Linked DNA regions of Saccharomyces cerevisiae S288C. The gene in region 2 interacts genetically with the main gene of each other region. Each region holds a gene or a part of one and is shown on either strand. Other genes may lie near its edges. The genes, in order: ERV14, SEC22, HSL1 and RGP1.

Evidence for each region.
Region 1: mutations in SEC22 (region 2) and ERV14 together harm fitness more than expected from each alone (negative genetic interaction), as found in Saccharomyces cerevisiae (4 studies listed by BioGRID).
Region 3: mutations in SEC22 (region 2) and HSL1 together harm fitness more than expected from each alone (negative genetic interaction), as found in Saccharomyces cerevisiae (5 studies listed by BioGRID).
Region 4: mutations in SEC22 (region 2) and RGP1 together harm fitness more than expected from each alone (negative genetic interaction), as found in Saccharomyces cerevisiae (4 studies listed by BioGRID).

Annotation. Positions count from the first base shown.
Region 1 is NC_001139.9:400,312-405,235, forward strand, and holds ERV14 (cornichon family protein), read right to left. Parts: upstream 977-4,924; coding exon 560-976; downstream 1-559. Other genes in the region: pheromone-regulated DUP240 family protein PRM8, read left to right, coding at 2,278-2,991; DUP240 family protein MST27, read left to right, coding at 3,376-4,080. UniProt on the Saccharomyces cerevisiae protein: Could regulate export of the bud site and axial growth sites selection protein AXL2 and possibly other secretory proteins from the endoplasmic reticulum in COPII-coated vesicles. Seems to be required for axial budding pattern in haploid cells.
Region 2 is NC_001144.5:676,302-682,934, reverse strand, and holds SEC22 (SNAP receptor SEC22), read right to left. Parts: upstream 2,736-6,633; coding exon 2,091-2,735; downstream 1-2,090. Other genes in the region: CMG1 (Cmg1p), read right to left, coding at 1-198; DCS1 (5'-(N(7)-methyl 5'-triphosphoguanosine)-(mRNA) diphosphatase), read right to left, coding at 697-1,749; BOP2 (Bop2p), read right to left, coding at 3,011-4,723; PDR8 (Pdr8p), read left to right, coding at 5,211-6,633. UniProt on the Saccharomyces cerevisiae protein: Nonessential SNARE involved in targeting and fusion of ER-derived transport vesicles with the Golgi complex as well as Golgi-derived retrograde transport vesicles with the ER.
Region 3 is NC_001143.9:247,172-257,744, forward strand, and holds HSL1 (protein kinase HSL1), read left to right. Parts: upstream 1-1,748; coding exon 1,749-6,305; downstream 6,306-10,573. Other genes in the region: metalloaminopeptidase APE1, read right to left, coding at 1-511; YKL102C (uncharacterized protein), read right to left, coding at 891-1,196; YPF1 (aspartic endopeptidase), read right to left, coding at 6,526-8,289; rRNA-processing protein UTP11, read right to left, coding at 8,549-9,301; MTC2 (Mtc2p), read left to right, coding at 9,599-10,573.
Region 4 is NC_001136.10:724,152-732,305, forward strand, and holds RGP1 (Rgp1p), read left to right. Parts: upstream 1-4,107; coding exon 4,108-6,099; downstream 6,100-8,154. Other genes in the region: ATP-binding cassette glutathione S-conjugate transporter YCF1, read right to left, coding at 1-3,400; HPR1 (Hpr1p), read left to right, coding at 6,427-8,154. UniProt on the Saccharomyces cerevisiae protein: The RIC1-RGP1 complex acts as a guanine nucleotide exchange factor (GEF), which activates YPT6 by exchanging bound GDP for free GTP. It is thereby required for efficient fusion of endosome-derived vesicles with the Golgi.

The DNA.
Region 1 (4,924 bases), on a different chromosome or scaffold from region 2:
TATTTATTTTTTTCATTTTAGTATTTTATTCTTCGTTATTTATGTATAGAAATTTTCATTTTCATTTAGATTCAGATTTGGTTATCTTTTTTCATTATATATCTTTTGCACTAAGTTTCAACTTAAGTTCTATTTTTTATTTTTTTTTTCTGGGCCCTGGAGCAATAGATATGGGATGGCTTACTGCATCTCTTCAAAATTTCACAGTCATGCTCACCCTTAAGTTCTCAACCTTTTAGTTTTTTTTTTTTTTTTTTTTTATTTTGTATGGCATACTAACTATACAAATATTTATATGTACATTTATACAGTAACCTATTATTTACCGATATTCACCGGTATTTTACTTTAATAGATGCTGGTAATAACGAAAAAAATTGATAACTCCCACCGACAATTGAGAAAAAAAGCAAAAAAGGAAAAAAGGGAAGCACGAATTAATACATTCTGTGTATTTATCTTTTTTATCTTCAGTTTTCCTCCAATCTATGGGCGGCCATTAAGTATGTCTATTATTCTTGGCCCTTCAGTCTTCTTTGGATTTCAATGTCTTGTTGGATTAGAAGTCATCACCACTTTCAGCAATCAAAGCCATGATCATTCTGTACAAGTAGAAGAAGAACATCAATAAGTGGAAACCTAACTTTAGGAAACTCTCCCTTTTATGTTTGCCTAAAGTTCTGAATATTTCGGTAGCATCCAAAAGTTGAACTTTATTGTAGATCTTGTTTAGATTGTAAGCTAGAACTGGTAAGTTCAATAAAAATACAAACCAGTAACCGTTCAGTAAGAATAGTAATGACAAAGCACCATGCAAGGCGGCTTCAGGGGTAATTAACTTGTTAACTTTAGAACATAATTCAATTGGATTGATATAGTCAGCTTCTAAATCAGCGTATAGTATTGTGAAATGCACTTGGCCAAACAAATTGATACAGTTGACAACAACAGCAAGGATAAATAACCAAGCACCCATTTTTCTTTTTATTCTTAATTTTTTTACTTTACTTTAATTGCAGTTCAAAGGTAAATGTCTTTGTTAAGTAGGCAGTGAGACATAATAATATGAGAAAAATCCAGGTCTCTCCTTCGTATTAAGGAATACATGATCTAGCTATCACTCTTAAATCTTTCTCCTTCCTTGTTTTTTCTCCGAAATGAAGAAAAAAAATTTTCTTCACGGAACTAACGTGAAAAAAAACTTTCAAAAAAATACTCCGATACGGGGAGTCGAACCCCGGTCTCCACGGTGAAAGCGTGATGTGATAGCCGTTACACTATATCGGAAACAAATTAACTGAAAATGTTGTATCTCAAAATGAGATATGTCAGTATGACAATACGTCATCCTAAACGTTCATACAACACATATGAAACAACCTTATATCAAAACGAACAACATGAGATAAAACCCGGCCTTCCCTAGCTGAACTACCCAAAAGTATAAATGCCTGAACAATTAGTTTAGATCCGAGATTCCGCGCTTCCACCACTTAGTATGATTCATATTTTATATAATATATAAGATAAGTAACATTCCGTGAATTAATCTGATAAACTGTTTTGACAACTGGTTACTTACCATATATATTATTGAGAAATGGGTGGATTTTGAGATAAATGTGAGAAATGGGTGAATGTTGAGATTGTTGGAATAAAAATCCACTATCGTCTATCAACTAATAGTTATATTATCAATATATTATCATATACGGTGTTAAGATGATGACATAAGTTATGAGAAGCTGTCATCGATGTTAGAGGAAGCTGAAGTGCAAGGATTGATAATGTAATAGGATAATGAAACATATAAAACGGAATGAGGAATAATCGTGATATTAGTATGTAGAAATATAGATTCCATTTTGAGGATTCCTATATCCTCGAGGAGAACTTCTAGTATATTAGGTATACCTAATATTATAGCCTTTATCAACAATGGAATCCCAACAATTATCTCAAAATTCCCCCAATTCTCAACATCCGACTGCCATGCAATGTGCTTTTCTGGATCTCACTCATGATCATAATGGCCCTGTAAAAGGCTCGTACTGTTATTATCATATCTTCAATTACGTATTATTTCGGAGGCTGTACCTATTAGTGAAATAACGCCTCTAAAAATGAAAAGAAGAAAAAGAATATGAAAGGGGTTCTGAATTGCTAAAATATTTCGTCAAAGCTCAATTAGTATCAAGATCAAGTCGTAATTCGAATCAGCATAACAACCTCCAAAACCATATAATAACCTTACACAAGACAAGATATCAATTCAACATGCAAACCCCTTCAGAAAATACCAACGCCAAGTCGGATTCTCTCGACGAACCCGGTGCATATTTAATCGAGGAAAATGTGGCTCTTCCTAAGGACATATTCCATTCGTACTTGAGTTATTGGATATATGAAGCAGCTCACTGTACACCGGTCATGCTTTTGTCTCTAGTAATTGGGGTTTTAATCTCAATAATTATTCTTTTTCATGATAACGAAAATTGCGTTGGGGTTTCTGTAGGGTTTCTCCTCATATTCTCTGGCATTTTAGTGATAGTTCTAATACTCAGGTTTGGACCACAGATCAGTGATGAAGATTTCAAATGTAAGCTACTGATGGAAATTATCACACGGAAACCTACGGTAAAGGGGAAAGAATGGAGGACAATTACATACAAGATGAACCAGTATTTATTTGATAACGATTTATGGAACACTCCCTACTACTTTTACCGTGATGAAGATTGCCACCGTTATTTTCTAAGTCTTATTAAGGGAAGAACTTTCAAGAAGCAAAAGGAATCGTCAGCCAGCAATGTTAAAGACGCACAATCAAATGACGAAACCGCTGGCACACCAAACGAAGCCGCTGAGTCTTCTAGTTTTAGTGCCGGACCGAACTTTATAAAGCTCCTCACCAAGGCAGCCGAAATCGAACAACAATTTCAAAAGGAATATTGGCGACAAGAGTATCCTGGTGTCGATGAGTTTTTTTAGACAGAAGACGGGAGACACTAGCACACAACTTGACAAAGGATCTACTTCTCGATTGACGACACTAGTAGGTGTCAAATTTAGTGTCATTTATGATTTTTTGTAATAGGATATAAATATATACGGCGCTCCAAATAATGCAGTTGCCCCAAAAACACCACGGAACCTCATCTGTTCTCGTACTTTGTTGTGACAAAGTAGCTCACTGCCTTATTACCACATTTTCATTATACATCACTTCGCAAAATGCAATATTGAAAATGCCTCTAGAGATGAAAAACAATCGTGAAAAGGGTCCTGCGTTATTAAAACATTTGATCAGTATGCAATGGCACAGAGACAATCAGGAATACTATAGTCATAGACGATACAAGGTATATATTGGTCATGCAGACCCCTCTAGAAAGTACCGACGTCAAGTTAGATACACTCAACGAACCTAGTGCACATTTAATTGAGAAAAATGTGGCTCTTCCTAAGGACATATTCCGTTCGTACTTGAGTTATTGGATCTATGAAATCGCTCGCTATACACCAGTCATGATTTTGTCCCTGGTAATAGGGGTTTTGGTTTTATTAATTATATTTTTTAATGACAACGAAGCTTGTGTTTTCAATTCTGCATACTACGCTTATCTTTCTCTTGTAGTATTGTTAATAATATTAGGTGATGGTAATCCAAAGCTAGTCAGTCGTCGAAATTTTAGGACCGAGCTTTTAGTGGATGTCATCACACGTAAACCGGCAGTAGAAGGGAAAGAATGGAGGATCATCACATACAACATGAACCAATATTTGTTTAATCATGGGCAATGGCATACTCCGTATTACTTTTACAGCGATGAGGATTGCTACCGTTATTTTCTACGCCTTGTTGAGGGAGTAACCCCCAAGAAGCAAACAGCCACGTCAATTGGCAATTCTCCGGTCACCGCTAAGCCTGAAGATGCCATCGAGTCAGCTTCTCCTAGTTCCAGACTGAATTATCGAAACTTTTTGCTCAAGGCAGCGGAGATCGAACGACAAGCTCAGGAAAATTACTGGCGAAGGCGGCATCCCAATATCGATGCGCTTCTTAAAAAGACGGAATAGCTTAGAGACACTGCCATACGTAAAGCGAACATAAACTAGAGTATGATATATAATCAGCACTAACTGGCCCGAAAACGGCCGAAGAAGCCTCGAAAAGTCGATTCGTGTTGGACCCATTTGCTGAACGAAGTGTTCATTGCCTACCTATTATGGTAGTAGTCGTGATAATCGTGTGGTTGGTTTTGTCAACGGTGCATTTGCATTTTCATGACAATAAGCCTTGCGTTTTCGTTCTCGGGATATTACTTTCCCCCCACTTCTTTCGCCTCGATAGCTCCTATAAGCATTCTCAGGGCGTATGTCGGTGATCGAGATTTCCAAGCAAGCTTTTAGTGGAAATCATCGCGCGCAAGCCAGCGGTAAAGGGAAAAGAACGGAGGACGATTACATACAAGATGAACGAATAAATAAATTAATAATAAATAATAATAGAAAGTACAGTAGCATTAAATATTATTAAGTTTAATGATTAAAAATTGGTTAATTGTCAAGAAAATCTAAGGTATTAATAAATAAATAATACTATGACAACTTGCAGCGAAACGATCAGCCCCAATGAAAATTAATCAGAATTGAATTTGAGCGTATCTATTTGATAACGGTTTACGTAACTGTTGGAATAAAAATCAACTATCATCTACTAACTAGTGTTTACGTTACTAGTATATAATCATATACGGTGTTAGAAGATGACGGCAAATGATGAGAAATAGTCATCGTTTTCAATGGAAGCTGAAATACAAGGATTGATAATTGTTGGAATAAAAATCAACTATCATCTACTAACTAGTATTTACGTTACTAATATATTATCATCAAAATTCACCCACTCTTCAGTTACTTA
Region 2 (6,633 bases):
GGCACTTTCATTACTACCTAATGTTTCTCCTTCTTTGTAACCCATGTTTTCCATCATTTTATAACCCCTGGGCATGATTGAACGTAGTGATGTGCGTGCAGTTTCGTCATTTGTTGAATCTCTTTTTGACTTCTTCTGAGGCGGTGTATTCTTCAAATCTATGCGATCCTCTTTTCTTTTTGTCTTACTCTCCTCCATTTTATGCCCTCCCTGAAAGTGATGGTAGATGTGTAGCGTACCTCTTATTGTCCGTCCTCTTATTCTGTAATTCTTAAATTAAATTCAATCCAGTAAATATTACAATTGAATTGATACCTAATTTTTTCTATTGACTATATTTCAGAGTCAACGTGATCGTTCTAACTTTCATTATCGATTATAGATATTATTCTCAGCAGTGGAAATCTTTTTATCTCAACTCGTCACCACACAAAAAAATGGAGACAGGATCCGGAAGACTCAGGAGGATAGAGCAACGTTATTGAACAGTGTTTTTAATTGTTTCATTCTTAGTCTTTAATTTATTTACTTTAAACCGACGGTTATATAGTACGTATTCTATTATTTTTTAATCACAAAATCTCAAATAGGCATGCCTTATGTTGTTGTGAAACTAAGGTATATAAAACAAACAACTTTCAAAAAAAGAAAATGAGAGTAGGAAAAAGGTGGATGATGTGAGAATTTTAACAACCTTTATTTAAAACCGTTCACAATCTTGGGTATTTTTGGGATACCATCTCTTTCCAATTGTTTAGTGAGTTCTTCTTCCAGACCCCTTTTCCACAAATCATGATTTTCACCAATAGCGTAGGTGATTGTCTTGTTCATGTAGCCTTCTGGTCCTAGATAATTTAACATTTCAATGATGTCTTCCAACAAGATGGCCTTGCCCGCGGCAATACTATTACCTAAACCGGGATGCTTTATGTTAACGATGTGAATGTGGAAATGATAATAAGAAGGTTGGTAGTGAACCAAAATTCTCAACTCATCCGGATGGACAGCATAGTTGTAACAACCAGGAACAATGGATCTAATCTTGTTGTTCAAGTTGATTAACCACTGTCTGTCAGAATATCTTAAATCCCTTATTGTCTTGATATCGGTCCTGTAGACGATCGCAACTAGATATAAAGAGTCTAAGTTCATGCCATCCCATTTCATATCAGGTAAAATTAGGAAGCCGTCGTCCTTATTCTCCTCAGAAAAATCTTTATAAACGACCCTTTCTGACTCAGCGCCTTCATAAAGAATGTTGTTTACCCATTTAAGTCTACCGTTATTACACATTTCTTCGATGTAAGGCTGAACAATTCTCTTGTACATCTCAGGAGTCTCTCTGACTAAATGAAAGTTTTGTTGTTCATATTTCTTGATATGAATTGGAGTAGCAGGCCAAATTAAATTCAACTTGGCGGTAGGGTTCGACTCCATATCCTGCTTTATCACTGACAAACCCCAGTAGTAAATATCATTGGAAGTAATCTCCTTTAATTCCTGAATTCCGTTGATGCAAGAATATTCGTTTTCACAATTATATAAAACTGGAGTGGAGCGGCCATCTTGAGAGGGTCTTCTCACGGTTTCGTCAAATAGAAAGTGCGTCTTTTCAGCCGTGATAATAGCATCCTTGTTGTCAATGGTTCCCAATAAGGACATAACTTTGGTTTGAGGGTTGGAATCGAGGACACTAACAAATTGGAATCTCTTGATCAATGAAGCAAAATCTGTTGGCAGTTGAGACATGGTATATGCTAATTTTGTCGTTTCGCTTTCTTTTTTTTTCCAGGAATTATAACTTAATACTATGTGATTATTTAGTTAATACACAGACAGTTAATAGAGTAGTGATGGCAATTCGATCATCCAAAAGAGTTGGAAAGCCTCTTTTCCTTCGATATATAGTGATGATATCCTTGAAAAGACTCCCTAAAAAGTGCAGGTGCGGCGGGTCACCTGCCAGCTTGCCTGAAAAATACGTAATTATGTCAAATAAATTGCCATACTATACTAATACTGAACTAGACTATGTTATACACTTGGACCAAATTGATCGGGATTTGTGATGTGGGATGATGGGGTGACGTCTATTTGAGGAAGATCCACCAGAAGAGAAAGACGAAAAAGAAAGCGACAATGACAATAGGAGCATATTGACTGATCAAGAGATCGAAGTTGATCTTTTGCGCGGACTTTCTGTACCTTTTGGATGTTTCTTTCAAAGAAGAACTCATGTCACTCATTTTATCGAGAGAATCTCCCCTGTAAAGTAGGTCTTCGATGTTCTTGGACATGATTTGCTTGACACCTACAAGCTCTTGGTTTAGTTGGTCCAAATTGTCCTGAACTTTCTTATCACTGTATGACTTTTTTGTCATCTGTAGAAAGTTATCAAAGTTTACAAACTGGTATGGTCTTACGGTAGGCTTGGGGTACTCATTAGCAAATGAGTGTTCAAATTCTTGCGCTATATCGTTAAGGTATGAGAATGCTAAGTTTCTTGGGTATCCAGATTCGCAAATGACGAAGTAGTACACCATGGATTTCTTCAAATAATGGATCTCAAAGGAGCCACTTTCCAAAGTAGCCTCCGTGGCAGACTGTGGTGTCAATCTGGAAACGACGATTTTCACCTTTTGCTTTTGTTCAAATAATGAGGGATCATTTTCGTTGTCCACAGACGTACAAAGAGGCAGCCCATCTTCTCTGTAGATTAGTGTTGACTTTATCATCCCTACTTAATTGTGAGTGTGTAACGGGGTGTCACTGTCAGGGTTTTTGTTGGTTTTGGGTAATAATAGGTTGTAGATATATTATATTACATGGGCTCTACTTGTTTATCTTCTATGGTAGAAAAAGACCGAAAAATGAAAACAAAAAGCGTTGAGGATTTATTGCTAAAAAAAAATTCGTTTATGACGTCTCTTATTAGATAAATCAAGTGATAACTAGAGAAATTTATTTAATTATATATGCTAGTACAACACGTTTGGTTGAAAATTAGACCTCAAACCACGACAAACTTCTGTCTTATATCGAAGAAAGTTGGGAAACTCTCCCGCAGGTCCAGATTTGGTAAATGGTCTTGTAGGTTACTGATATTAAGAACGTAGTTAGAGTCGTCCTCTAATTGAGCAAATCCCAATTTCTTGCATTGTGGTAGTTCATTCCATGAAGTGAACTCTATACAACTCATATCATTTGACGCTTGTTTTTGGTGTTGGGTGGTGTCGCAAAGGGTATTGTTGATGAACAGTTCCTGCAGATTTGGTAGGTAAAATCCCTGGATTCGGATGGATGAACATTTTTCAATACGTATGATTTTGACAGTGAGCGATCTTAAAGAGTTGTTCTTCAAGCAAATCATTGGCCTCTTTAAATGGTGTCTTTGTTTGAAGGTATCATCGCTAAATGAAGAAGTAAAGGGGATCCAGTTGATTATTTGAGTTTTTTCTACCCCCTCAGGTATCAACTTGACTCTGAAATAGCAAGTACCATCGTTGGTTTCGTTAATTGCCATTTCTTGCAAAATTTTAATGTTTCCCCTCAATGATTTGATGTACCTTTCTGGTGAACCTGAAAATGTTGTTTCGTCATACTTGAATTTGTGCCCAGTGAATTCTTTAATCTTGGGCATTGACCAATTTTTCAAAGAGTGCAACTGAAAGAGGAAATTTATCGAGATATTCTCACTTAAACATTTGTTTAGAACATATGAAGATAAATCTATGAAGTTACAACATTGGGTAATCTCATTATTGTTTGGGTAGGTAGACATCTTAATAAAATTCAAGGTAACCAAATTAGGGAAGCTGATATGAAAATTGTTGAAGAATTGTTGCAAGATCGACTTGATAATTAAAGCTGCTACTGTCGTTGTCGAGTTTAAATTTAAATTTTTATCCACGTCAAACTCATTGTTCCTTTCAAATGTTTTTATCTTTGTTGTTAGTTTATGCAGTATCGAATTAAAGAATGAATCAAGGGCCATATAATCCAAATTCAATGTTTCAACAAAGGGAAAACAGATTTTCTTGCAAATGGGGGGTCTTTTCTTCCCCTTTTCGTTAGTCTTAGAAAAGAAGTTTCTATAGTTTTTATTAATCAGCTGAAAAATATCGGGATCAAAAATCCCAAAGAAATTTTGATCCGAATAGATATTTGAATCCACGAAGTCCAGATACAATGTGTTAATATCAATATCTGCGACTATGTTCGCAATATGTAATTTTTCCAAAGGTGAATAAAACGAACTCTTTATATTGCGAACACAGAATACGAACTCGATTATGTTTGAATTGGAATTCGCCAAGGGGAAGAAGGTTTCTATGAGTTTCAAATCTGAGAATTCGTCAAATATAACAATAAGTTTTTCTGCTTTTAAATTCTGGGCCTTGTCAGCATTGGTTTCCAAATCAACAACTCTGATATATTGTGCGTCCATGTCAATGTATGGCAACAATCTCTTCAGAAACCCGTACTCCGCTCGTAAAATCGAGTCTTGCGTGGCCTCACAGGTCAGATCTAAAACCATCAAATTCTTCCTAACGTAATTTGTCAAGAAGTCTTCCGTTATAGAGCCACCACCTCTCGAAGAGACAGAAAAATCAATTAGAGCCACTAAATTGTACAACCAATATTGAGAGTCTGTTTCCACCACAGTGAACTCAAATATCCTTTGGATAAGCTCAGTAGGCAAATACGTTAAAGCGGCAACCATCCTTTTCACTTCTACCCGGAGAATATATAACTTTCGAAATCACAGCCTATATATTGCACAAATTTCACGTAGAGCTCTAGCTGTGAAGATAGAATCATCAACTTTAAATTTGCTTAAATCTATTTATACAAGAAATGATCAACTGAATAAAATAACGAGCGGCTGAAAATTAAGGGTTCTTTCGTGTGTGGAGTTACAGTCCGTTGCAACGCCTTTCCAACATGCACACAAAACCAACAGTGGCTTATTCGCCAGAGGGTACAACAATGACTCAGAAATCATGAAGAGGCATTAACAGCGGTCAGCAGTGGAGCAATAACAACAGGGTCATTACTTCTTTACTACTTGTACTTAGAATACATCACGACAAGGTGCAATGCGGCGCCTTTCCGCGTTGACAAACTCTTGAAAAGCCCATGACAGGTGGAAAACACGTGGTTGGTACGGGACGAATAAGAAAGAGGCAAACGGCACTTAGTTTGTTGGGATGGATGGATCCCATTTTCCTATGAAATCTACTACCGGAGAGCCCGTTTCAAGTGGTAAGAAGGGCAAGAGGAGGAAGGTCATCAAGTCATGTGCATTTTGTAGAAAAAGAAAACTGAAATGCAGTCAGGCCAGGCCTATGTGTCAGCAATGTGTAATTAGAAAACTACCGCAATGCGTTTACACAGAAGAGTTCAACTATCCCTTGTCTAATACGGAACTGTTCGAGCAAGTGCCCAATGTAGCGTTGGTTCAGAAGATTGAGAATTTGCAGACTCTACTGAAGGAAAACGATAACAATAATGCGAAACCGGTGTATTGCAGGAGTTCAGAAAATCCATTACGGTCACTGAGAACTTCGGTTTTAGGTGATAATGGCTCGAGGTATGTGTTTGGCCCCACTTCCTGGAAAACTTTATCTTTGTTTGAACAAAATAAGTTTCAAACTGAGTTTCAAAATTTATGGAAAGTCTTGAAACCACTTCCTGAATGCACTAAATCGCAATTAAATGAAAATGATGTTGTAGCAGATTTGCCTAGTTTTCCTCAAATGGAAAGCTGTATTAAATCTTTTTTTGCTGGACCGCTGTTCGGCATATTGCATATCTTCAACCAAGACGATATTCTGTCCCTCTTGGACAGACTTTTTATTAGAGATACCACGGACAAGAACCTAGTCATCCTCCTCGATTTGCAAGGTAATGCAAAAGATAAGTATAATCTTGGCATTGTACTTCAAATTCTTTGCTTGGGCTATTATAACCAAGATATCCCTTCTTCCGTGAGTCATTTCCTTCACACTTTAAGTGCAGCGTCCTTGTCATCATCGAGCTCAAATTTCGTGGAAAAACTACAATTTTTCTTATTGTCCTATATTAGTGTAATGATAAATTGCACGGACGGTGTATGGGATGCGACTCAAGGCGTTGACTTAATCAACGAGCTATGCCAGGGGTGCATAAGTTTGGGTTTAAATGATATTGATAAATGGTATTTGAACGAAAGTGAGGAAACCAAACAAAACTTGAGGTGTATTTGGTTTTGGGCTTTATTCCTTGATGTATCCACCTCATATGATATAGGTAATCCTCCGTCTATTTCAGATGATCTTTTGGACTTAAGTATATTTACTGCGCAGAATTTCCAATCACCGAGTATTGACTTTAGGAGAGTTAAGCTAATGCACGATTTTTTAGATGTTTCCCGATTCACTACTCGTGAAATTCACAAGAGAGAGATGAACGAAAAATTGACCACTTTTTCATTGAGATTGATTGAATTTATACAATCTAACTTTTCACCTATCGAACATTATACAAATTCAGTTTACTACTCTGATATTGATCCCTTTGATATATTGATTTTATCAAGATCTCTAAGTATAGTTGCTAGTATATACAATATTGAGATGATCATCGCTCAAC
Region 3 (10,573 bases), on a different chromosome or scaffold from region 2:
TGTCTAGCCACAATTCATTCAGTGTACCTCCATAGGGAGCAACAGCAATTCTTCCGTAACCTTCCGCTGTGTCTTTAAAGGAGACGGGCTTCAATTTGACCGTCAAAGCGTCCACATGAGATCCAATGACACCGACACCCTTTTCGGCTCTCCAGTTTTTGCCCAGGATAAAGGCAGATAGGTTAGTTCCATTTCTTATAGTGTAGAATTTCCCACCATCTTCGCCAATGGAGTCCTGCCAATTGGATTTCTCGCTCAAGTATTTGAAGTTATGCTTATCTAACAGCTCCGCGAAAAATGATACTACATGGTAAGTGGTAGGGTTCTTGTAAATGAAATCAATGAATTCCTGTGCAATATCCTCATAATTGTGCTCGAGGATGCACCACGAATTTTCATTTTCTTTCTTTTCCTTTTCTTCGTTGGCGATTTGGTTATTTTTAGATGGCTCTACAGTTAGCATCTGCAGAGTTTTCTTCAATTGTTCCAGTATTTCACGTTGTTCCTCCATTCTTTTTTTCTTAATTTTGTTGGTTGTGCAGGTTTCTACAATTGCACTAAGATTACTGATCAGGCTCTATACAGTGTATGTCTTGTTCTGTGAAGTCAACTGCTTATAAATGAATTTTTATTATCTAATGGAACGATTAAGGGGTGTGTCAACTATTTCACTTAACCCTATTCTTTCTTACTGTCGTTTGCTTGCATAGCCTATCTTACAGTAATAGAGGTGCAAAACAGCATCACCCCTAGTTGTTTTTCCCGAAAAACCTATCCCAGATTATTTTTTTTTTGAATTAGACAAGAAATCATCCGAAGACCTATTATGCTTCTGATTAAACCTTGAGAAAAACGGAAGTTTGCAACCTATACCCTAAAGTAGAAGCTGACTAATTCATATTCCTCACGAAATGGTGCGACCTCTCTTTATCCATGAGAAAAGGAAGGAGTGGGTTCTTGTTTGATGCTTCTTTATCTGATACCAACAAGCGCAAGAGATAAGGGATTACAATGTTATCATGCCTCAGAAAGTAATAGGATGACATTTTCTTGCAAACGTTGACATTAAAAACATAAAGTACCTTACGGCGTTCGGAGCCTACAAGCCTGCCACAATTTGAGCCGCTGCACAAGAGAACACCGAATGAACAACTGGCTGCAGCTGTCGATGAAACCTCAGCGAATAAAGCACACATTTGTGCGTTTTACAATAACAGGGAAGGTGGAATGTGTTGCCTTCGTCCTTATTTTTCGCGTTGTGAAATATTTTTACTAATTTTTCTTTTCGCGTGGTCATTTTCGCGTTGGGTTGTTTGGGCTAAATAGTGAAAACTAATCTCCATCACGTACCGTACCGTCTTGTACCGGCTGGGAGCAGCATTATAGTGGCCACTCTTATTGGCGTTCTTAATATAAGCAAGTTACCTTTTGCTCGAAACCTGTTTCTTCTTAAAACTCCCTTTGGATCGTAAGTTCGCTAGTTATCCGACTGCAAGGACGTAAATTGGACAGCGAGAGGCCATTAAAACAGAGAGTTGAACTCAAATAGATCATCAAATAGGTTGGATATCCATCATACTACTTGCTACTAATCGCGAAAAGAGATAAATAATAAAATTACAAGAAAGACAAGGTAAAAAGAACGACATAGATTTGCGGGACAAAAAATACTGATAAATAAATCAACAACCAACTATATTCACTCCTTTATTATTTGTTATTAATATTTTTTATTTTTACCACACGACATGACTGGTCACGTTTCAAAAACGAGCCACGTACCCAAAGGTCGCCCGTCTTCATTGGCCAAGAAGGCAGCTAAAAGGGCCATGGCCAAAGTAAATTCGAATCCAAAAAGGGCGTCGGGGCATTTGGAGCGTGTTGTACAATCTGTGAACGACGCTACCAAAAGATTATCTCAGCCCGACTCTACCGTAAGTGTTGCTACAAAATCATCAAAGAGAAAATCCAGAGACACGGTGGGTCCTTGGAAACTTGGCAAAACATTGGGGAAGGGATCTTCTGGTAGGGTTCGCTTGGCTAAAAATATGGAAACAGGACAATTAGCTGCCATTAAAATTGTCCCCAAGAAGAAAGCCTTTGTTCATTGTTCTAATAATGGAACTGTTCCTAATTCTTACTCTTCTTCCATGGTCACTTCCAATGTATCTTCTCCATCAATAGCATCTAGAGAACATAGTAACCATTCTCAAACGAACCCATATGGCATAGAGAGAGAAATAGTAATCATGAAATTGATATCTCACACAAACGTTATGGCATTGTTTGAAGTTTGGGAGAACAAATCAGAGCTGTACCTAGTTTTGGAATATGTTGATGGTGGCGAATTATTCGATTATCTGGTCTCGAAGGGAAAGCTACCTGAAAGGGAGGCTATCCATTACTTCAAGCAGATAGTTGAAGGTGTTTCCTATTGTCATTCTTTTAATATATGCCATCGTGATCTGAAGCCTGAAAATTTATTATTAGATAAAAAGAATAGGAGAATCAAAATTGCTGATTTCGGCATGGCAGCATTAGAGCTTCCTAATAAACTTTTAAAAACTTCATGTGGCTCTCCACACTATGCGTCTCCTGAAATTGTTATGGGTAGACCATATCATGGCGGTCCTAGCGATGTCTGGTCCTGCGGTATCGTTTTATTTGCATTACTCACCGGTCATTTACCATTTAATGATGACAACATCAAAAAGCTGTTGTTGAAAGTTCAATCGGGCAAATATCAAATGCCCTCAAATTTATCTTCTGAGGCTCGTGATTTGATATCAAAAATATTGGTAATTGATCCAGAAAAAAGAATTACCACTCAAGAGATATTGAAGCATCCTCTGATCAAAAAATATGATGATCTCCCAGTTAATAAAGTGCTGAGGAAAATGAGAAAGGATAACATGGCGAGGGGAAAATCTAACTCGGATTTGCATTTGCTAAATAATGTCTCGCCCTCTATTGTAACTTTACATTCAAAAGGGGAAATTGATGAATCCATCTTGAGGAGTTTGCAAATTTTGTGGCATGGAGTTTCTCGTGAACTAATCACTGCCAAGTTGCTTCAAAAGCCAATGTCGGAGGAAAAACTATTCTACTCACTGTTATTACAATATAAACAACGTCACTCAATATCATTGTCCTCGTCAAGCGAAAACAAGAAATCAGCAACAGAAAGTAGCGTAAATGAACCTAGGATTGAATACGCATCCAAAACTGCCAATAATACAGGCCTAAGGAGCGAGAACAATGATGTGAAGACTTTACATTCTCTAGAAATTCATTCAGAAGATACTTCAACAGTGAATCAGAACAACGCAATTACAGGGGTTAATACAGAAATTAATGCCCCTGTATTGGCACAAAAATCGCAATTTAGTATCAATACGCTCAGTCAACCTGAAAGTGATAAGGCTGAAGCAGAAGCTGTAACATTACCACCCGCTATTCCCATATTCAATGCTTCTTCATCAAGGATTTTCCGTAACTCATACACCTCTATTTCATCACGTTCGAGAAGATCGCTACGCTTATCGAATTCCAGATTATCATTGTCCGCTTCAACTTCTAGAGAAACTGTGCATGATAATGAGATGCCTCTACCTCAACTGCCGAAGTCGCCTTCAAGATATTCATTGTCAAGAAGGGCAATCCACGCCTCCCCATCTACTAAATCAATACATAAATCACTTTCGAGGAAGAATATAGCTGCAACTGTTGCCGCTAGAAGAACACTACAAAACTCGGCTTCAAAGAGATCCTTATACTCATTACAGTCAATTTCAAAACGTTCCTTGAACCTGAATGATTTATTAGTCTTTGACGATCCTCTCCCTAGTAAGAAACCAGCATCCGAAAATGTGAATAAATCAGAACCCCATTCGTTGGAATCAGACTCTGATTTTGAGATCTTATGCGATCAGATCTTATTTGGAAACGCCTTAGATAGGATACTCGAAGAGGAAGAGGACAATGAAAAAGAACGCGACACCCAAAGACAGAGGCAAAACGATACAAAATCTTCGGCAGACACTTTTACGATCTCTGGGGTGTCTACAAATAAGGAAAATGAGGGCCCGGAGTATCCAACCAAAATTGAGAAAAATCAATTCAATATGTCATATAAACCATCTGAGAATATGTCAGGGCTCTCTTCATTTCCTATCTTTGAAAAAGAAAACACGTTAAGCTCAAGTTATTTGGAAGAACAGAAGCCAAAGAGAGCGGCCCTTTCAGATATCACGAACTCATTCAATAAAATGAATAAACAGGAAGGTATGAGGATAGAAAAAAAGATTCAAAGAGAACAACTTCAAAAAAAAAATGACCGCCCGTCACCACTCAAACCTATTCAGCACCAAGAACTTCGTGTAAATTCTTTGCCTAATGATCAAGGTAAACCGTCCTTATCTCTAGATCCCCGCCGTAACATCTCCCAGCCAGTGAATTCAAAAGTGGAATCACTATTGCAGGGACTGAAATTCAAAAAGGAGCCAGCCTCTCACTGGACCCATGAGAGAGGTTCCTTGTTCATGAGTGAACATGTGGAAGACGAAAAACCAGTCAAAGCCTCAGATGTTTCAATCGAAAGTTCATATGTACCTTTAACAACAGTAGCAACATCTTCGAGAGATCCCAGTGTTTTAGCAGAATCTAGTACAATTCAAAAACCAATGCTGTCTTTACCTTCTAGTTTTTTGAACACATCTATGACGTTCAAAAATCTTAGCCAGATACTCGCTGATGACGGTGATGATAAGCATCTAAGTGTGCCACAGAACCAATCTAGAAGTGTAGCCATGTCACACCCTTTGCGAAAACAATCTGCCAAAATATCTCTAACTCCACGGTCTAATTTGAACGCCAATTTATCCGTTAAACGTAATCAGGGCTCACCTGGCTCCTATTTGAGTAATGATCTGGATGGAATCTCTGATATGACATTTGCGATGGAAATACCAACAAACACCTTTACCGCTCAGGCGATTCAACTGATGAACAACGACACGGACAATAATAAAATCAATACTTCGCCCAAAGCATCTTCTTTTACAAAAGAAAAAGTAATCAAATCGGCAGCCTATATCTCGAAGGAAAAAGAACCAGATAATAGCGATACTAATTATATTCCAGATTATACTATACCAAACACATATGATGAAAAAGCCATTAATATTTTTGAAGATGCGCCCTCCGATGAGGGTTCATTAAATACATCTTCTTCAGAAAGCGATTCACGAGCAAGTGTGCATAGGAAAGCGGTATCTATTGACACTATGGCGACAACAAACGTTCTTACTCCCGCGACAAATGTTAGAGTAAGTCTTTATTGGAATAATAACAGTTCTGGTATACCCAGAGAGACTACTGAAGAGATACTTTCTAAACTTAGATTGTCACCAGAAAATCCTTCTAATACACATATGCAAAAGAGGTTTTCTTCCACGCGTGGTAGTCGTGATAGTAATGCATTAGGCATTTCTCAAAGTTTACAGTCAATGTTCAAAGATTTGGAGGAAGATCAAGATGGGCATACTTCTCAAGCTGATATTCTTGAATCAAGTATGAGCTATTCAAAGCGAAGACCATCTGAGGAAAGCGTTAATCCAAAACAACGAGTGACAATGCTTTTCGATGAGGAGGAGGAAGAATCTAAAAAAGTAGGTGGGGGAAAAATTAAAGAAGAGCATACCAAGCTAGACAATAAAATATCCGAGGAATCTTCTCAACTTGTGTTGCCGGTGGTTGAAAAAAAGGAAAATGCAAATAATACAGAAAATAACTACTCTAAAATACCAAAACCCTCAACGATTAAAGTTACGAAGGATACCGCTATGGAATCAAATACACAAACCCATACAAAAAAGCCAATTCTAAAAAGTGTCCAAAATGTTGAAGTTGAAGAAGCGCCTTCCAGTGATAAAAAGAATTGGTTCGTCAAACTATTTCAAAACTTTTCTTCTCATAATAATGCTACTAAGGCATCCAAGAATCATGTAACGAATATATCATTTGATGATGCGCATATGCTAACATTAAATGAATTCAACAAGAATAGTATCGACTATCAATTAAAGAACCTAGATCACAAATTTGGGAGAAAGGTGGTGGAATACGATTGTAAATTTGTAAAAGGCAACTTCAAATTCAAAATCAAGATTACTAGCACACCCAATGCATCTACGGTAATTACTGTAAAAAAAAGAAGCAAACATTCAAACACAAGTTCCAATAAAGCCTTTGAAAAGTTTAATGATGATGTGGAGAGAGTAATTCGAAATGCCGGACGTTCATAAATTCTATATAGATGTTATATAATTATACAACAATAATTTGAAAAATTTAACGTACGAGAACCGAATGGACAGGCGTGAGAAAACATAGTTTAAAAGAACATTAATAAATGGAGAGACATGAGACACGAAGGAAAGAAAGAGGGTTTTACAAACATTGTCCTAGATTAGAAGATAAATACAACCCTGGAGGGGTAAAAAGAGCTGTCGTTTCTTTTGGAGCTCAAGAAGATTCGTCATCCAAGAGATCTTCTTCAGAAAGCTCTTCCTCAGAGCTGTCACTGAGATCTTCCTCTTGCACGAATTCTTCATCATCGTCAAAATTTTCGTTTACATCATCACCAAGCAAGGCATACTTGTCGGCATCATTATAGTATTCTGATAGGATGAAGGTCGAATAAGTTATAGAGTTCTCCTTTTTTTCTATCGCTTTTTTTAAACTTTTATCCACTTCAATCGTATCATACTGAAAATTCCAAAACTGCTTAAAATCCTTGTTCCAGCAAGCTACCAAAATAGTACTAATCAACAAGGAAGGAACAATGTATAATAAAGCCGGTTGAGCAGTATTGAAAATGGACAAGGAGACCATGGCAGATACCAAAGAAGCAACGTAACTAACCATAGCAGTAATAAAATATTTTCCAACGTATGACCAGTTCAAAAAGTGGAATTCAGTGTCATCATGATCAAGGTGCCACTTCCAGATGTCATATTTGTAGCACATCGCAATAAACATACCAGGCAAGGCAATATCACCCAGACCAAGTATTGAAAAATTGAAGTTGTTTTGAGCTGTATTAAACTTGACTGGTAAGCTTAGTTTTACGGGAATATCAAGGTTAGTAGCTACTGTAACCATTACATCGGTACCAAAGACAAAGCAAATGTCGTAAAAAAATAGAGCAATTAGGATTAGGGCCCCTGATTTTAAATTCTTCAATTTTAATTGAGCAATGGACCAAATAGCCATATTCATACTGACAGCATTGGATATTAACCAATCATTGGGTGATAAATAGAAATATACGGTAGAAACGATGGACAGAACGAACGAAACAATTAATGCGCTATTCAAATACATGTTGCTGATCTGCCTCTTCGATTTAATATCCTTCGGTTCAACTAATTCTCTTCTGTAAAAATGCTTCATCCAATGATCTTTTTCAATCTCATCCAATGTTTTCTTGTGAACAACTGAGTTGGTCAATCCATCTTTGTAATTCAAATTGGTAACAAACCCGCCTATCTTGTTCAGGTCTTCGTTATCATCAGCTATTGTTACACGATACCTTGGTAAAACAACCAGGGGATTCCAAGAAGCTAAATGTGATAGGTTTCTGAAAAGTGAGTTGAGAAAGTAGGAGTAGACAAATGTGCCAGCTGGGATATTTAGCAGTGTTATATTAAAATTCAAAATTTTCACCACATATTTTAGCCAGTTTAGGTGTAGTTTCTTGATCACAAAATAGAGAGCGAGTAAAGTACAGCCACTAGTTAAGGGCAGTATAATCGCATGTTTTTCATCCATCATATCGAAAAACCTCTTGCTTTTCTTCTTTTTCTTTTTATCTTCGTCATTCTCGCGGTAGATAACATGACAGTCGTGGTCCACATCAAAATCTGTAGGATCAAACAATGAGTGTTCTCTCGTAGGAGGTAGAGCTGTAAATGGAATAGAAGAAATAGACGTAAATGAGCCAATAACGACCAAAGCACTTGCGATGAGAACTAAAGTGGCGTAGTTGAATACTAAAGAATGGCTTTCCACCAAGTGTGTAATCTTGTGAGCAACGCGATATGATATCTTATCAAAGGCAGTGGTTAATTTGTTATTGTGGTTTTCAACTATAGCATTGATCTGTTCAAAAACTTGTTCTAATTCCTTGTTCGACGCACTTTGGTTAGCGCTTGATGAATTGTTCCTAAAGGCACGAGATGACCACTCTGAAAGGTGGTCAACAAATGAATTCAAATACTTGTCCATCGTGTATGAGTTTGTTCCCCATTATAGATCTGTAGTATTGCTCAAAAAGGGAGCACTTTACAAATCTTGTCCTAAATACTCCCATTCGGAGAGGGGTTCTTTTTTTTCCGGTGCCTCAAAATCCTTTTTTTTTTGATGGCGCAAAAGACACTTAAGAAAAGTGAATACTTTTTATAAACGTAATCCTATAAAACATGAAAAGAAGGATTACGGAACGTCTGCCTGATTCACTTATATATACTATATAGATGGTAAAAATCTAACGTTTCCGTTGTTTCTTCCATTTAAATGAAATTTTTCCTGAAGAGTCTACGATTTTTTTCTTGGAACCCTTCTTCAACAATTCTCTTTGAGCATCCATTCTTTGTTGGACCTGTTTCAATTGAGTTTCCCTCTGTAAGTGCTGCTTGACTTGCTTGAACTTTTTCAATTTCTTTTTGTCTAATGATTCCTTTGGCATTATTGATGAAGCGTTCCTATTGTTTGAAATATCTTGGGCTAATTGGTCCTTAGTTAATCTATTTTCAGATCTATTCACCATCTCGGAGGTGGTATTGAAAAACTTCTCTGGGGTGAATTCGTTCATCTTCTCTCGGGAATCGACGAATATTGTATGATTCCCACTGCTTTTGAACATCAACTGTTTCGCTCCTTTCTCCAGCTTTTTCAGCTCTATTTGCCTCAGCGTCCTCACATAATTACTATCTTGCGTTTTGAGTAATTTAACTTGATCCATGGAAAGCGATTCGTCTTCTTCGTCACCGTGACGTGAGCTGATCAGCAGTCCTTTTGCATCTGTCTTCCTTGAATGCATAGCATGGTAGTATTCATCTGGATTTCTCTCTTTTGCTTTTTCTCTGAGGACTTTCAAAGTGGACTGCTTCCTGTGGAAGTCTTGAGCACGTTTCACATAGTCTTTATGCTTTTCTAAAAACCCATATCTGGAACGGCTAGTTAGCTGAGAACGTTCTCTATGCTGCTTTTTCTGAACATCATGTACAAGTTTAGCCATATCTTTTGTCTGTTGTTGGCTGTAACGAACTAGAAAACCCCACTAGTATTATTCGATGATATGCAACTTGCTCTTATTGTAGTTTCTTAGCATTGTTTTCTTTACTCTTTTTCTTCAAATCGCGATGAGCTCATCTAGCCATAAAAAAATTTCATCTTTTACGTGCATAACGACAAACCTTTAAGCCTTAGAGGACTTGGTGATGTGCTCCTTTATAACAACGATTACTTCCATTGAACAGCAACACCTGCAAAATCGGAGCTGCAAAATTATTGATTGGATGTGGCAAAAATAGGAATGGGCGATCATAATCTGCCGGATTTTCAGACATGTTTGAAGTTTTCTGTTACAGCTAAAAAGAGCTTTCTATGTATGTATAGAGACAGCGTCTCAAAGGAAAAATTAGCCTCTTCGATGCCAAGTACTTGTGATATACAACTGAAGAGGGCAATCAATGACGCTTATCCGGGCGGAGGAATAAAGGTCACGGTTCTGAACTCAACAACTGCAAGCTTGGACTCGTTAGCAACTACACATGTTAAGGAATTTGAGATTGTTATCATTCCAGACATAAATTCTCTTTTACAGCCAGACCAAGCGAAATTAGTAAAAATTATGAGAGATTGCACAGTGGCGATTGAGAAGGCACAGTCAACACGTATATTTATAGGAGTGGTTCATTGGAATAATCCCGTGCAGCCTTCAGGCGCCGCTAAGGATGGGGATGAAGCAGGTAAACCAGCTCCCAAAACTCGCATCTTCCTGCCCACGTCTTTCCGTATGGGCGCTTGGCTCAAACACAAATTCTGGTTTGCATGTGCACCCCCATATTTGGATTTTGAAAGTTCAACTGAGTCTAGCATTAATACAAGAGCCAATAATAGCATTGGTATGGCTGAGGAAGAGAAGCAGGAGCCAGAGAGCAAGAGGTCGATCATATTAAATGAAGAGGCAAATCTGAACGATGTATTTGTGGGGTCCACTGTAAGACGGTATATTCTCGATATCATGGTCCATTTGCGAACGCATAGATTGACGTATAACGCCAAAGCCGGCGGGGTATATACAAATTCATTGGACGACGTGGTGTTATTGTCTAGATTAATTGGTCTACATAGCGGCAAGATGTTTGTGTCACCTTCACATGTCAAAGAGGCGTCCAGGTGGTACTTCCCCATGCACTTGGAATTGGTTCAGCGTTCCTCCATGGATAGTTCCTTATTGTACGGTAGCGACCCCAACTTGGTGGACGAAATGCTAGAGAAACTTGCG
Region 4 (8,154 bases), on a different chromosome or scaffold from region 2:
CTTGGAAATGAGAGTAGATTGGAGACCTAGTAATAGAGTCTAAACGACGCAACTCCCTTGATGTTCTCAGGTAATACTGCTGGTAGTAGATGTAAAACACACTTAGTGGAATGATAATGAAGATAAATTGCCATGTCGTCGCACAGATAACCGTAATAGTGAATGTGACTTTCACTGCATTGACGAAAAACTGAGAAAATGTTCTTCCTAATAAAGCATCCACTTTGTATATGTCATTTGAGAATCTGTTTAGAATTCTACCGATTGGTGTTGTTTCAAAAAACGTCATTGGGGCTCTCAACACAGAGTTTGTCATCAAGTTGTGTAAATATTTGGAGGCATGAATGGTACAAAAAACCCAGAGAACGATTGTCTGGATTAATGTTGCCAGTGCTGAACCAATACCAAGTGCAAAATAAATGGCCAAGTAACGCGCGGCATTTGGATTAGATCCATAGCGGCTATTAACTTCAGACCAATGTTTCAACCAAACGTTACCCATAACAGAGAGGAACATCGATATAACAATAAACAATATGAATACACAAACGCTTTTCGGGTTGCAAGCTTTAGCGTACTCTAGGTAAATGTTCCACTTTACTTTTCCCTGTTCACGATGCTCTCTTTTAGCAATATTTTCATCGTCACCAAAATCGATGCTTCCCAAAGTTGCATCACTGGCCCTCCTTAAACTTATGGCGTCAGAGTTGCCAAAATCCAAATCATTTAATTTCTGCAGTTGTTCCAGCTCTCCTTCTACAGGTATACTACTTTCTCGAACTGAGCTTTCAGAGGAGTCACCGAATTCATTCGACTTACCGTTATTTTTTTTACCATAGTTGTTGAGCAATTTCCATAATGGCGAATCAGCGTCCTTCGTAATCTCATCATATGTACCCTGCTGTGTGATTTCTCCATTATCTAATAATGCAATAGAATCTGCGATGGATAACGCGCTCACCTTATTAGTGGCTAATACCTTCGTTTTTGTATGTAATAAACCATTTGGACCCAACACATGTTCGATCAAGTGCCTGGCAACGTGTTCATCAACAGCTGCCAAAGGATCATCAAGTAAATAAGTGTCAGCTCTCGCATAAACTGCTCTTGCTAAAGACAAACGAGCTTTTTGTCCTCCAGATAAGGAGATCCCTTTCTCGCCAACTAATGTCTTATCTCCATCCATCAAAATTGCAAGATCAATAGTTAACGCACAGGCCTTGATCGTTTTTTCGTAAAATTCCGCGTCGTATCTATGCCCAAATAAAATGTTTTCCTTTACAGTACCATTCATTATCCATGGAACTTGTGAAACATAAGCAACAGAACCATGAACGGTGGCGAAACCTTTAACCCTGAATAGATCACCTAACATGCATGACAATAGAGCTGTTTTACCACTGCCAACTTTACCAACAATACAGGTCAAATTTCCTTTTTTAGCTTGGAAATTAATATTCTTTAAGGCTACTTTGTATTCCGGTTTCCGTTGCCATAAAAAGGTAGCATCATCTCCAATGTTAATGGCTACATCGCCAATATTTTTTACTTTTGGTAAACGCTGAACCGAATCTGGTTGTAGCTCTTCATTGGTAAAGAATGTAAATAATCTACCAATAGAAACAGAAGCTTCGATAAAAGAATTTAAAACCATAGGAATAATCATTAGTGGGAATGAGAGCAGGTTGAACAGAGTCAAAGCAGGGAAAACTAAGTCAGTAGTCAATGCTCTATCCTCAGTATAAACAAATACAGCAAAGGTACAACATGAAACAAGGAATGGTACTATATTGAACTGAAAACTTGTCACAGCCATATAACATCCTAGTTTTGTAAGATTTTTTAACTCTTTGTTATTTCTTACTTCTTCTAGCTTTTCCCTATAAGGCTTCTCCCATGCATATAACTTCAAAGATTTAATATTGTTTAGTATTTCACTTATAACACGGGTCCTTTCATCTTTGTACTTCATCTGGGATTTTTGCAACTTCTTTTGTATCCTCATCAAAAATGAGTTCAATGGCATCATAATAACTAGTATAATCACGCCAACCCACATGGAATTTCCCAACAACTTATACAGAGAATATAAGCAAATAATGATTTGAAAAGGCCCTGACCATATTAAATTTAGCCATTGTGTTAAATCTTGTAATTTTTGAACATCCACACTCATGAGATTGACAATGTCACCGGTAGAGGAAAGTCCAGAAGCCTCATTAGATAGCACTAAGGATTTTTGATATATTAAAGCCGTTAGGGCGCTCTTAATATACATGCCTGTGTTGAAGACATTCAGGAAATATTGATGCAGGACAGATGTCTGAGTAAAGCCCACCAGAAACATAGCAAACGCAATCAAAAACCCTCTTACAATGGGTAATTTTTGTGGGTGGTTATTTTCAAACCCTTGAAGAGAAGAATGGTCATCCTGTCTCTCACTGTTATAGTCTGTGACGAACTTGATTAAAATCCTTAGTAGTTGTGGTTGAGTAAATGCTAGAACATCATGAATTGCTTTAAAGAATGCGGCTAAAAGCATTTTAGATCCAAAAGTTCTGCATATAGCCCATGATAATGAAGGATTTGATTTTTGCTTCAACTCATTTTCCCAGTTTTTCTCCAATTTTTGAGAGAGTTCTTCACTACTAAAGTTCCTCGGTAATTTATATAAATCTGCTTCCACTAAGTATTTTTCATAGCCAGTTTTCATCAAACCTGACATCCAAGAGAAGGTAATCCTGGAAAATATGTTTGCGCTATCGTATGGATTTGGTTTTCTTCTTGTTAAAGTTTGATGTATGTGTTGATGTGGCATTAGCGGCTTCTTTGGAAGAGCTTCAAGTAACAGGATACTGGCACATGTTATTACTTGGAATAACGTTAGTATGAAACCCGTTTGTCCGGAATACCAAATGCCTTCGTAGGTGTGTCTAATTAGAATATTTATTAGTTTAGCAAAATTACCGAATGTTTCAAAAAGCCAATAGAATAAAAGTACCGTATTGGCTACAACTGATCTATCGTATTCTATCCAGTGTAAGGCTAAAGCAACAAATAAAGATAACATTGTAGAAGCATATTGACTTACAATGGTAAAGTTTTCCGCTTCTTCTTTAGAAATATTTAAAGACGCAAGTGAAACAAACGCTATCTCCAACAGAACTAGTGCCATCCTAGAGACAATAATCCAATTCCGCCTATATTTGATGCCAGAGTGTTTTTTCTTGCAAAGGTTAACTAAATCTCTGATACCGAAGGTTATCATGAAAATTGCTGATAGATTTAGGATCACACCGTCGATGAAGCATTGAGTAAAGTCACCGTAAAAGGATATAGGTCCAAACCCTTCAGGAGATCTACAGAGCTTGCAGGCCCATGAAACAAGATTACCAGCCATTTTCTTGTTCTTTACGGTAGTACGATACCCCTAATTTATTCTCAAACTGTTAATTGAAAAATTGTAGGTTGTAAACCAGCTTCCACATAGCAGATGATCACAAGAGGTTATCGCACCTTTTATAGCAGCTGCTAACTTTTTTCATCAATTTCGTAATTACTAAGCCGTAACCTTCCACCGCCCAAGCATCACACCAGGAGTTACATATTTTTGTATTATCATAAAGAAACACACGCCAAGATATCTACAGAAACCAGATGTTAGCATTAGATATATATATTCGTATTGATGCAGCATAACAAGCGTACTATGGATTGCAAAGTAATGTAGATTCCTGACCAGTAGATCTGCTCGCGCAAGAGAAACATTCATGAACTCTAACGACAATAACAGTAAATCCACCTCACGGAGAACGATAAAAGTCTTCATTTCTCCATGAGGTGGAAACGTTGTTTGAATATTAAACATAATACTTGAACTTCTTGTGTAATTTTTATTTTTTAATCGAAGTCTACTCCGAAGTCTCCTATAAAGCGTAAGGCGCGTCTCCAAAGTGCTATTTTTCAAGATCAATTCAGCTTCAAAGAAGCTTTGATACCTACGGGGCAATGCAAAGGCTGCCAGTCGAAACAAACAGCGAAAGCTAGCCCATAATTTCTTGAGCTGTTGATTTTGATTGTGATATTTTTCATACTTTAGAAGAAGATATGCGTGCGCACAGAATCGATACATTTCTCATAAGAGAAAACATCAAACTGGAGATCATACATGAATCGAATTCCTATTTTGGTGGAGAACATATATCAATTGCTTTCCGATTTAAGCACCTAGGCTCACAGCATGAATTGTTCAACTATAAAGAAAAGCTTCTCACTGTCGATAAAGCTGTTGAAGAGAAGTTGGAACAACAAGCGAAAGTGCAAGATGATGGTGAAGGCACGATGGAAAATCAAACCTGGTCCCTAAAATCATTACTAGGTGCCTTCAAAAGAACAGGCGAACCTGAAGAGAGTGTGGATGTGGATAACATGAAAATGCTAAATGAGAGTAAGATGTTAAGAGAAAAAATACAGAAGCAAATGTATTTTCATCAACCTGTAACGTTAATATCCGGTTATGTTCAAATATCGGGGGTCTTTCAATACGATTCAGAGGTAATTTCAGAGTCAAAATTTAAACAAGATGAAGTAAAAATGGTAGGACTAGATATTGTACCTGGACATACGACAAATTCTGTTCTTGCATTGGAAGATGGAGAACATTTCAAAGGTAAAAGAAATTTAACCAACTACCTCAACTCAGATTATACAAATGTGACCAATGGTCTTCTTTTCTCAGAAAGCGGTTCTAGGGGAAGAACAGGTACCTATAACGAACGGACCTTAATGATATCAAACGATACCAGTATAAAAACATTACCTCTTCTTTTAATACCACAGACGCTTTTATTTTCTGAAATTTCTTTAGAACCAGGTGAAGTAAGAACATTCTATTTTAAATCCACAAAGCTGCCAAAAGATATATGCCCAAGTTATTCATCGTCAAAAGTGGCATCAATAAATTACACGCTGGAGGTTGGTGCGGATGTACTTTCTGATGATAATATCGAGAAATTTTCAAATAGAGTCCCAATAACAATAGCACCATATATTAGTTCGAATGCCGAACAGTACACATCACGTCTGGATAAGCCTGCTATCATATTAAAGACAGGTAACATAAAGGAACTAAAGCCACGTTTGTTTACTCGAAAAGTTTCTACGGCTTCTGCTGTATCATTTGGTAGGAGAAAATCTTCTATAATTGACATTGATTCTCCATTAGAAGATAATGAATTTGTCAAGCGTGTCAAAAAAAACTTCATTGAACTGGTGGAATCTAACCAAAATGTGTCAAGAGATATAGACGAACTTATTGACTTGCAAATGGGGGTACAGTTCGGAAAGGATGAGGATTCTTCGGATCCTGAACCCAACGACTCACACTTTTCGAACGAAATGGTGACGTCTGCAGAGTCTAGCCTGAGAAGCGATGCTGTAACTAAGAGGAGAAAAAGTTATTCGGTACGCGATAACATTTCTAACCTCGAGCAAAAGATGTGGAACGATTGTTCTCTCGTTAAGTCAGATGAGAATTCTAATCTTCTACCTCAGCTAATTAATTTACAGAACGCATATCAAATTAACAGAAATAATGAGACTATGGCAAAAGTATCCTTATCAGCACCTTTTTATAAGACAACTGATGATATAAATTTAGTCATTGAATTAGATCCGATAACGACGCCTTTACTTAAAGTGACTTCGTTGACTGTATCCTTAGAATCGTTTGAAATTATAAATCCAAAATATAAGACTGAAGGAAAAGGAATAGGGAGCAAACCAAAAGGAAACTCGGTGTATGAGAAACATTTTATTTGTTTCGATGAGTGCAAGTCCGTATCGGTGAAATTACTTCCTCCAAGATCGCCTACAAACCAGATTACCGGACAATTCAAGACAGATGTTTTTCAACATAAGTGGATGATAGGACTAAAATTTGTAATAATTGCAAAGACAGAAAGTATCACTTTGGATCAATTTTATGAGGATAAAAAGGGCATCCTATTCCATTCAAAAGAGAATTTAGAAGGTGAAGAGTTTACATGTTACGTTCCCATTCCAATACTGTGTACATCCGAAGATTTCATGGGATGGTAAGCAATAAATGGGTGCAGTTTACTCGTATAATTGGTTTTGCATTTGAATCCAATCCAGTAAAGAGGATTTACTATACTCTCTTCATAAAGGGTATGTACAGATACATTTATAAGTTAGTTAACCGGCTTTATTGTCGTAATAGTCATCTCTTGATGTCATGGGTTGCTGTCCGTGCGATTTCAAGACTGCTCATTTCGCACGATGCATATTGCTTCTCTAATGACATTTTTCGTTAGAATGATCAGGTTTTTGCCATAGCTTGATCAGTAAATTAATAGATGATTTTAACAATTCAAGAGGCATTAAAACTTGGGCAAAGGAGTAATAATGTCTAATACCGAGGAATTGATCCAAAACTCAATAGGTTTTCTCCAGAAAACTTTTAAAGCACTCCCAGTTTCGTTTGACTCCATTCGACATGAACCACTTCCATCTTCAATGTTGCATGCAAGTGTTCTCAATTTTGAATGGGAACCGCTCGAAAAAAATATTTCGGCAATTCATGATAGAGATTCTTTGATTGACATTATACTTAAAAGATTCATTATAGATTCAATGACAAATGCTATTGAAGACGAAGAAGAAAATAATCTTGAAAAAGGGTTACTAAATTCGTGTATAGGTCTCGATTTTGTGTATAACTCAAGATTTAATAGATCTAATCCAGCTAGCTGGGGAAATACCTTTTTCGAGTTATTTTCCACCATCATTGATTTGCTAAACTCACCATCTACGTTTTTGAAGTTTTGGCCCTATGCTGAATCACGTATCGAATGGTTCAAAATGAATACATCTGTTGAGCCAGTATCATTGGGGGAGAGCAATTTGATTAGTTACAAACAGCCTTTATACGAAAAGCTGCGCCACTGGAACGATATTTTAGCTAAATTAGAGAATAATGACATCCTTAATACCGTCAAACATTATAATATGAAATACAAACTAGAGAACTTTTTATCCGAGCTACTACCTATAAATGAAGAATCGAACTTCAATAGATCCGCTTCTATTTCAGCTTTACAAGAATCTGATAACGAATGGAACAGATCAGCACGTGAACGAGAAAGCAACCGCAGTTCCGACGTTATATTTGCTGCAGATTATAACTTCGTGTTTTATCATCTAATTATTTGCCCGATCGAATTTGCTTTTAGCGATTTAGAATATAAAAATGATGTGGACAGATCATTAAGTCCCCTTCTTGATGCAATCTTGGAAATCGAAGAGAACTTTTACAGCAAAATCAAGATGAACAATAGGACTAGATATTCCTTAGAGGAAGCTCTGAACACTGAGTATTACGCGAATTACGATGTTATGACCCCTAAATTACCCGTGTATATGAAGCATTCAAACGCAATGAAAATGGACAGGAATGAATTTTGGGCGAATCTACAGAATATTAAAGAATCAGATGACTACACTCTTCGACCTACCATTATGGATATCTCTTTGAGCAATACGACCTGCCTTTATAAACAATTGACTCAAGAGGACGATGATTACTACCGCAAACAGTTCATTTTACAACTATGTTTCACAACAAATCTTATACGCAATTTAATTTCTTCTGATGAAACGAGGAATTTCTATAAAAGCTGCTATTTGAGGGAAAACCCGTTGAGCGATATTGATTTTGAGAACCTTGATGAAGTTAACAAAAAGCGTGGGCTCAATTTATGTTCATACATTTGCGACAATCGTGTTTTGAAATTTTATAAAATTAAAGACCCTGACTTTTATCGTGTTATCCGCAAATTAATGTCTTCTGACGAAAAGTTTACAACCGCCAAGATCGATGGCTTTAAAGAATTCCAAAACTTCAGAATATCTAAGGAGAAGATACCGCCACCCGCTTTTGACGAAACTTTTAAAAAGTTTACGTTCATCAAGATGGGGAATAAATTGATTAATAATGTTTGGAAAATACCTACTGGTCTAGATAAAATTGAGCAAGAAGTAAAGAAGCCTGAAGGTGTCTATGAAGCAGCCCAAGCGAAATGGGAATCAAAAATTTCTTCTGAAACTTCCGGTGGAGAAGCGAAAGATGAAATA